Linked DNA regions of Arabidopsis thaliana. The protein of the gene in region 1 interacts with the protein of each later gene in a biochemical or structural test. Each region holds a gene or a part of one and is shown on either strand. Other genes may lie near its edges.

Region 1 (5,018 bases):
TTTCTAGTCAATTTGTTTTTGGAATTTTTCTTAATTCAAAGAAAATTGTGCAAAAGCTTTCATGTGCGGCTCAGATTAATTAGTCATTTACTACTAATAAAACTTTCACTTTGGGGTCTAGTAGATAATTCTCCACCCCCATTGAATCTTTTTAGTGGAGGTCTAAACATACATAAGATTCTATAGATTGACATTTGGGAAACCATCCTCATACAAAAAAGACCTAAACGGAATCTATGAAGAATTATTAACAGAAAAGAAAAACAGATGGCAATGAGAAAAGATCGGGTTCAAGGAAAACACAGCCGTACAAAACTCAAGAACAAAAACACCAAAAATAAACAAAAAAACTTCCAAAAATAGATATAGAATCACATGGTTTTGTTGTTTTGTCTATTTGTTCTCTATAAAAGGAGATATTTGGTTGGATCTATCATAGCGTCTCCTCTCAACCAAAGCTTACAATTTGTTCTCCCTTAAAAACTAAATTTTACAAATAAACTCTCAAATCCAAGAGAGGAGAAGACCGAAGTAAAAACACAAGAAAAAAAAGGATTAAGGCATAATGGCCAAATTCTTCATTGTCTTCCTTGCCTCTGCCCTATGTTTCACCACCCTCGTTCACTTCACCGCAGCTGATGCCGACGACTTTGACAAATTCCACATCAAGGGCTCCGTCTACTGCGACACATGCCGTGTCCAATTCATCACCCGTATCAGCAAATTTCTCGAGGGTAATTAACCACATTCTCTAATCAAATTCATTTGTTGAGCATACTGTCAATAGCAAAATATATTGGTTGATAAAAAATCGATCCCATTATGGTATATAGGTCAATGGTTAGAATTGTGTAGTAAAAATTCACAAAAATGATTACAAGCATATATAGACGTCTTTTTAACAATGTTAAAATTTTATAAAAATGTGGTTAGTCACATTTCTAAGAGTTAGTGTTGCAAGATTATAAGAAAAACTAATTACGTTATTGTGTGTATATCAGGGGCAAAGGTAAAGCTTGAGTGCAAGGGTCGTGAGAACCAGACAGTGACCCTAACCAAAGAAGCCGTGACCGACAACGCCGGTAACTACCAGATGGAAGTAATGGGTGACCACGAAGAGGAAGTGTGCGAGATCGTCCTCCTCCAATCACCTGACCCAGAGTGTGGAGACGTGAACAACCAAGAATTCCTAAGAAACGCAGCCAGAATCAGTCTCACGGCCAATGATGGCATTGTCTCCAACGAGACTCGAACCATTAACCCACTTGGGTTCATGAGGAAGACTCCTCTCGCTGAATGCCCTCAAGTTTTCAAGGAGCTTGGAATCGTCCCTGACGTCACCTTCTAAGCTTAATATACATATATACACACCCATATACATCGATCTCTCAAAGTCTCAACACTTTCAATTTTTTTGATGACTCTTTTTAATATATAAAACATTTATTTATGTTTTTTATGTGTCTGTCTGAGTTTACTAATTAACCATGTTTTTTTTTCGTTGTTATTGTTTTATTTTTGGGAGTTCTTTTTTACGAATGATTTGATTACCTTCCAATATTTATTTGTTACTTTTCGATTGAACAGATACATGCATGATGTAGTGAAAAACCCTACTCTAAAATAAATTTAAATCATTTACATGCATAGTGAAATTTATGACAGTTTGAGAAAGCTACATATGTAACATATAATGTGAATTATAGTTTGAGGTAAATGACTCAAACTGAAATAAGCAAAAGACAACAAATAAAATCGAACCCTTACCTAAAGAAGGCGGATCAGAGTTTTGTATATATTGGGCCTTTAGTCTGAGCCACTAGGCCTGAATCACAAAACGCGTTTTCACGACAAGCGTTTGCACCAGGATCTTTTGCAGCGTCTGGCGTTGGTTTTCAAACTCTGAATCCGAAACGCTAGATTTTAAGACGCCGAATTTGTTAAGCGTTCTCTATTTCCTGATTTCAGCATCTAAAGACAAATATACCCTTCAAAAAATTGTAAAACTACGAGAAGACTGTCCATTTATCTTTTCTTTCAAGCCAAAAAAAACTCTCGAATCTTCTTCTTCTTATTTCTTCTATACCGTCGTCGAAAAGCTTTACCAAAATCTCACGCCCCCGACGATTCATCGGTAAGTCTTGTTCTTGCGAAATTTCATTAATTCTTCTTCTGGGTTTGCTTATCAGATCTGCTTAATTCTGGGTTTTGGTATGCGTATTGTTTTCGATGTTTTAAAAAACCACATCTGGTTCCTTGTCTCGATAGTTCTAGGGTTTAGCTTTCTTCGATTTAGTTGATCTCAGTGAAGATGGGCCCGAGGATGTTCTAATTCTGATTGAAAGAAGCTGAATACAAAATTAAATAGATCTTAAAAGTATTTGAGTCGAAGAATTCGAACTGAATAAGTTAGTAATTACTGAACTATGTCTCTGTGATTCATCTTATTACTTAAAAATTAGGTTATAGTTTCATAGGCTTTGTAATTCAGTTCCTGTATTACTTATTGTAGCCTCGTTGTATCTTTGTCTTTGATAGATCTCTAGGCTTGTCTTGATCATTAGGTACAGAAGAGTTGATAAATTACAGTGATAAATTACCATCGTGGCTTGTCTTTATCTGATTATCTTGGTAATGTATCGAAGATGGATTTGTTTTTGTAGTGATGTGAAACCTAAAGAGTATCAATAAGCTTGAAAGGAGAAATATTTGAACATTGCATTAACAGGTCTATGGCTTTATTGTTGCAGGGATTTGAGTTTGCACTAAACCCACAATGGTTTCCTATCGTGCTACCACAGAGACGATTTCCCTGGCTTTAGAAGCCAACAGCTCGGAGGCTATTACGATACTGTACCAGGTTTTGGAAGACCCTTCTTCATCTCCTGAGGCTATACGGATCAAGGAGCAAGCGATTACAAACCTTTGTGATCGATTGACTGAAGAGAAGAGAGGTGAGGATCTCCGGAAACTGTTGACCAAGTTGAGGCCTTTCTTTTCCTTAATCCCCAAGGCGAAAACTGCGAAAATCGTCAGAGGAATCATTGATGCTGTGGCAAAGATTCCTGGAACAACTGATCTCCAGATCACTCTCTGCAAAGAGATGGTCGAATGGACCCGCGCTGAGAAGCGTACTTTCCTCAGGCAGCGAGTAGAGGCTAGGCTTGCAGCTCTTTTGATGGAGAACAAGGAGTATGTTGAAGCTTTGGCGTTGTTGAGTACTTTGGTAAAAGAGGTTAGGAGATTAGATGATAAGCTCCTTCTGGTCGACATAGACTTGCTGGAGAGCAAACTTCACTTCTCATTGAGAAACTTACCCAAGGCAAAAGCTGCACTCACTGCAGCTAGGACAGCTGCTAACGCTATATATGTCCCACCAGCTCAACAAGGCACGATAGATCTGCAGAGTGGGATTCTTCATGCTGAAGAGAAAGACTACAAAACCGGATACAGTTACTTCTTTGAAGCCTTTGAGTCCTTCAACGCTCTCGGAGATCCGAGAGCGGTTTTCAGTTTGAAGTACATGTTACTGTGCAAGATCATGGTTAGCCAAGCTGATGATGTTGCAGGAATAATCTCCTCAAAGGCTGGACTACAGTACGTTGGCCCTGACCTGGATGCCATGAAAGCAGTCGCTGATGCTCACTCGAAGAGGTCCTTGAAGTTGTTTGAGAACGCACTCCGTGACTACAAAGCACAGCTTGAAGATGACCCAATTGTCCACAGGCATCTCTCTTCTCTCTATGACACGCTTCTGGAGCAAAATCTGTGTCGTTTGATCGAGCCCTTCTCAAGAGTTGAGATAGCTCACATTGCTGAGCTCATTGGATTGCCGCTCGACCATGTGGAAAAGAAGCTATCTCAGATGATACTCGACAAGAAATTTGCAGGTACCTTGGATCAAGGAGCTGGATGCCTCATCATCTTCGAAGACCCAAAGGCAGATGCTATCTACTCGGCTACCCTCGAAACCATTGCAAACATGGGGAAGGTCGTCGACAGCCTTTATGTCCGGTCTGCCAAAATCATGTCCTGAGAGAGTGAGTGAGTTGGTCGTATGAATCTCATTCTATCGTTCTTTCTTTCTGGTTTTAGATATCGTTTGGACTCAAAGAAACTGATGTTTCTCAATGGAGAAAGTAAACTTGTCTGAATTGTTCACATTACTCGTTTTGCTTATGATCTTATTATGTCATGGTTTCTTACCTTTTATTAGTGCTTAAAATGTAGTTTGTTTTCATCTGGTTGTTGCAGTTTCTTTTTCTTAGCCTCGCAAGTCAACATTGTGTTCTCTTTTTCCAAAACCTTTAATCTTTACCTCATCCAAATCTCATTGATTTTTCTATCTCCGCATTTATAAATTCTGACCAACCCAGAACTCAATTCACAGGACCCACCATTTCTTTTCTCAACTCAGGACATGACTTGCACACAAGCAAGTCTTGATTTTGTTCTCTTCTTCTGTCATATTCTTTTATGTGCTGCTTCATCACAGTAGCTTTTCTAGTTAGCTTCGTGATTATTGATGAAGTAAACAAATTCTGTTAAAACGTTTATTTTAAATGTTAACACTAAAATGTGACATACTACAGTCATCCACAAAAATGTTGATAAGGCATATATTTTCACAAATCATAATATTTCGTTAAGATTTAAGACATTTTTTTGGCTGTTTGAAAAGGTTATTTATCATTAGTGGTTTACTGGTCTTTTATTGGAAGGACAAACATTTAGAGTGTTCCAATATTTGTTCAATTTCTTCTTCATAAACAGTAAAAACCTTATTCTAGTTATGTAGGTATCCCATTATTGTGTGATTGTCAGTTTATAGCTGAAAAGTGAAAACTTAAATGTCCAATTGAATGAGGTTTCTTCTTGGTTGAAAGATTAACTAGACTAATGTCCATAATCTTTAACTAACTTTACGTACACTTAAACGATGCGAAGCTACAAAGACCAAAAAAGTTAGATTTCTATAGGTTTATGAGATTGAGCAATAATAACTAAAAAAATTAGTA
Region 2 (4,628 bases), on another chromosome or scaffold:
GATTATATTAATAAAAGAATATAAAGACAAATTCATAAGTCAGTGTTGGAAGAGTAAATTCGAGTGTAATCCAAATTAACTTTGACATGAGCGATTATTTATGTAAAACCTTAGGAATTTATATTGGACTTATAGCCCGAAAGTAATAATTAATTTTCTCAGGTAAAACGACACTGTACTCATGTTCTCCCCAAGACCATGTTCCCTGATTGCTAGAACCGAGGTGTATAAATACAGAGATTCTTGCTATATAATATTGCTATAACGTGCTTTAGATTCCTATATTCATCTATCTTTTGCCTTCGATCTACCGATAATGAAATGTCTATTGATCGTTAAAACGCATGCAAAGAGTTTTCGTAAACAGTTTTTACCACGTTTAGTCTAAATCATTTTAAACTGAGTGATCTAAAAAATCACAATAAGTGAATACAAAATCACATATATATGAAGGACTTTTGGTATGTTTACATAATAATTAAGAAAACAAATCTTAATTAAGAATTTCTTAAAACAGAAACTCATCCTCGAATGAAAGAATGCCCGTCGTGGATATCGTCGATGTATACTGGAATATATAAATCAATAGTGGGATTAGAGTTGTAGAACGTACCGACATAATATATATATATATACATAATTACATTCGCAATGTTACAATTCTGGCATCAATTAAATGGTCAGAAACGTTACACATGACGCATACAAATCTCTAAAAGTATTTGTAAAAAGTAATGGTTTTAGCAGAACTATGATGTAACCTTTAGGTTATCCACTCAATAAAAACGAGAAGTTGAAAGAGATGTTCTCCATTATTATTGTGAGTAATGGACAAAAAGAATATAAATAAGGAGCCTCTAACAATTACGAACAAAGCAAGTGGGATAAAATAGCCATGTAACCTGTGAATCCATTTATTTCTTTGCAGTTTTTTCATAATTTCATGAAAATATGTCCACTATTATCTACACATAATGATAAACATTGAAAGATAATAAAACAAAAACAAATGAAAGAAAATCAGAGTTTGAGCAAAATTTAAACCACTCTTTTTTGTTTTAAAATGAACTTATACGAAGAATAATTCTCAAAGAATTGTTTGTATCTGATGAGAATTATTCAAACATGTACGTTGTTCAAGCAGGATACGAATCATACAAATTTCTTGGGACACAAGGTGATTCCCTCCAAACCCTAGCGTGAAGCTTAAGCAATTCTTTAGCCTTTTCTTTAGTCTTGTTACCACAGCTAACTTGAAGTACCAGACACAGCTTTGCTACAACTCCCAATTGCAACATCTCCTGCAACAAAGAGGGTGTCGCGCAGAACCTCCCAACCGAAAGCAAAACCCTAACTGCCCTTTCACTAGTTATTTGTGAGACCCTCAATATCTTCTTAGACACAACCGCAATAGCGGCACCGTGATTCAAGAACTCAGCTCTTCCTTCTGCGCACTGACATAACATATCAAGAACCACCATCGCCATCTCTGAATTCCTTCTCTCTGATGAGAAAGTATCGTCCATTAAAAGCTCGATTATCATCGAGATTGTTCCACCTTCCACTGCCTTGTGTCTATTCCTTCCCCATGGACATGTGATCACCAAGATTTGCATTGCTGATCTTGTCGCCTTGTGAGAGATCTGGTCGTGCAAGATTTGAATCACCTCACCGAAAAGTTCTCGTTCCAACAATATGATCTGCATTGGATCCGCAACTTCCAGGAGCTTCTTGAGAAGCAAAGCCGCATAGGCTCTTGACTCGTAGATCCCACGTTGCATAATCTTCGTCAACGTTTTCACAAGATTTGTTCCTTTCTTGTTGTTTAAAAGACTCTTGAGGGCTGTCTCCGATGTGTCAAGATGGTAGAGTACGCTTAGGGCTTCGTCCATCAAGCTTCTTGAAGAATCAAATCGATTCTCCAACATGTTTGACTGACACATGTCGTTGAGATTCGAAGAAGAAAGTGAAGAAGAAGGAGAGTTATACGTATCTACAGAGTTGCTTACGATATTTGCCAAAAACTCCGGAACTTCTGCGGCTTCTAAGCACCGTTTGTTGGTTGTATTCTCAGATACTATTTGACGAAGTCGTTTGAGGCATTTGACTTGGTTTAGATGCGAAGATGACGACTCTTTGATAAGCTTTTCGATCTCCGATTTACAGATCGGAGGTTTTGGAGTTGGGATCCTCTCTATACCATATGATGCGTTGAGGGTACACCAAGATTGAATCAAACGGCGAAGAGTGTGGTTTGGGGTAAGATCAGTTTCGGTTATGACTTGTTTGGTGACTGGACATGAGTTTTTCTTACCGGAAAAGAGCCACTTCTCGATGCTTTCTCGGTCGTAGGTTATTCCGGTGGAAACTATCACCGGATCTTTCATGATATCTAGAGAGATTGGACAAAGGAAGAAGGAAGGAATCTCTATCTCTTGATCCATTTGACCCGCTCGAAAATATGAAAAAAAAGAAGTAGACTTAATCAATGGAAACGACGAACGAATCTAAACAAAAAGCTTCAAAGTGCAGTCGTTGAGATTTAGGAGATATGTGAATTGGTTTGAATAAGTTAGCAAGAAGATAGATGAAGAGTTTGGGTCTTTAAATATAAAGGGATAGTGGAAATATTCAGAATAATTACAAAAGTCAAAACACGGAAAATACAAGTATTGTTAAAACTCTTTTTGGATAGCTGTCGCTATTTATTTATTATTGTATAGTTTTTTATTAGAACGAACGAGGAACGTTATATATAGATTTGACTTTTTTTTTGGGTGGTGTAACAAAAGAAACTAAACTATAAATGCGTTTCTCATATTAAAAAAAAAAGTGAGACGTATGAAGAGTGTTGACTTGTCAAAAGAGATGCGATAACGGCGAAGAAAGTGTAAAAAGTAACCAAGTCATTGGGGATTGGTTGTGGCGGTGTTGAAGACAAATAGATTGTCTGTTTTGTGTCTCTTTTTCGTTTTACTCACATGCCATAATTGCTTATTCCTCCTCTTTTTTTGCCATCCCCCATTGACTTTTTATTTCATTTTACAAAAAATTGTAACCTAAATTGGCTGGCTTGTTTCAATTTTCAAAACTATGGTTAATATAACTGTTAATCAACCGAAAGGTAGATGAAGATTTTTAGGTTTTTAATTTTGTCAACAAAAAGAAGATTACTGTTTTTGGTACCGACAAAACCTAAAGTGCCATTAACGGTCCGTTGTTGGATTTTGTACATTGTTTTAGGATGCAATCTTTTGTGATACTTTTGGACCCATACTCCCTTGTTATGCTCTACTTTTGTCTAGGCGCTTCCACAATATTTTGGATATTCATATTTTCAGTTATTTTTCCTCTCTTTTTTCCTTTTATCTTTATATATATGTTGGCTTTGATCTTAGTGCCAATGGATATGCCTCTCATCTATTGGCAAATGCATAAACTATATACGTTTTTTATCTGCTTTTGGTTATCACTGAAGTTTTGGTATTCTTTTGAGTCTGATATCTATTTTGGTCAATTACATTCGATTAATTAAATAGTTTTGGTATGCATAAACTATTTTGGTACCACTTGTGGGACATTGATAACTCAGTCTCTTCAAGTTGTTTTATCGTTCTTCCGATTATCAGGGATTCACTTAATGTTTTTATAGAACGTTATATCATTTCATCTTGACAATATATATGAGTTTTTGATCTGTCGATGGACATCTTTACTTCCATTTTTGTTTTTGCCATTAAACAAAATCCATAGGTTCTACAATCCAGTAAACTCTAAACATTGTCATTTTTAAAGAATTACATACATTTTTAACCAAATCTATATCTATATATATATACCACTTTGTGTTTTCCAAAGACATCTTTCGATTTCAAACATTTTAGTTATTAAAAATTGCATATATTACGAAAAAGTCAACATAATATGATTTACAGCTTTATATACCCTATGATTAATGAACTTATGAGTTATGATATTGGTTATTTACTAACGTTTAAGTAACGGAATGAAAAGTGTATATATGATAAAGATTTTCTGCTGTTTTTTTAAAAAAAATATACGAAGAGGATATCATCGATAGTCCGTTATCCTTAATCAACACTTCTATACCTTTTAAGATTTCAAATGAACTGATATTTCTCTTGTCATAGTTTGGCTTTGGTGGTTCTTCATGAGTCTTTAATTGTTGGTTTAAGACTTTAAGCCATTTGCTGTTTACATTGTAACTATTTCAACCTATGTTATTATTTGTTTCAAGCTTATTTGACCTGATTATAGAAACTCGATAGTATTCTTATGATTTGGAAATTTGGAAAATATATGAAAGTATAACAGAATCACAGAACTGAAGTGAAATATTTCCATCTTTTTGTTAAATTAAGATATTATTGAAAAATAGAAATAAGTTAGGCAACTCTTGAGCACGACCAGAATCATGACCAAGTTGCAACTATATATGCTACTAATCAGCAATTCATTCAACCACAAAATAATAATTTATCCAAATAGATAGATAATTGACTTCAATCTTGAGGATATATATTTATTTGGGTTTATGTACAAATAGCTCTTTCCCATTCTTTGAGCAGCGGTCATATATTACAGCCAATTAATAAAATTTAAGAATA

What was found.
Region 2: the proteins of ATS9 (region 1) and PUB22 form a complex in vitro, tested with the Arabidopsis thaliana proteins (one study listed by BioGRID).

The regions. Positions count from the first base shown.
Region 1 is NC_003070.9:10,178,464-10,183,481, forward strand, and holds ATS9 (non-ATPase subunit 9), read left to right. Parts: upstream 1-1,838; 5' UTR 1,839-2,134; intron 2,135-2,135; exon of another isoform or gene 2,136-2,408; intron 2,409-2,750; 5' UTR 2,751-2,776; coding exon 2,777-4,036; 3' UTR 4,037-4,325; downstream 4,326-5,018. Other genes in the region: AT1G29140 (Pollen Ole e 1 allergen and extensin family protein), read left to right, coding at 566-734, 1,002-1,348. UniProt on the Arabidopsis thaliana protein: Component of the lid subcomplex of the 26S proteasome, a multiprotein complex involved in the ATP-dependent degradation of ubiquitinated proteins. In the complex, RPN6A is required for proteasome assembly.
Region 2 is NC_003074.8:19,439,807-19,444,434, forward strand, and holds PUB22 (plant U-box 22), read right to left. Parts: upstream 2,622-4,628; 5' UTR 2,445-2,621; coding exon 1,137-2,444; 3' UTR 811-1,136; downstream 1-810. UniProt on the Arabidopsis thaliana protein: E3 ubiquitin-protein ligase that negatively regulates water stress response. May control in coordination with PUB23 a drought signaling pathway by ubiquitinating cytosolic RPN12a.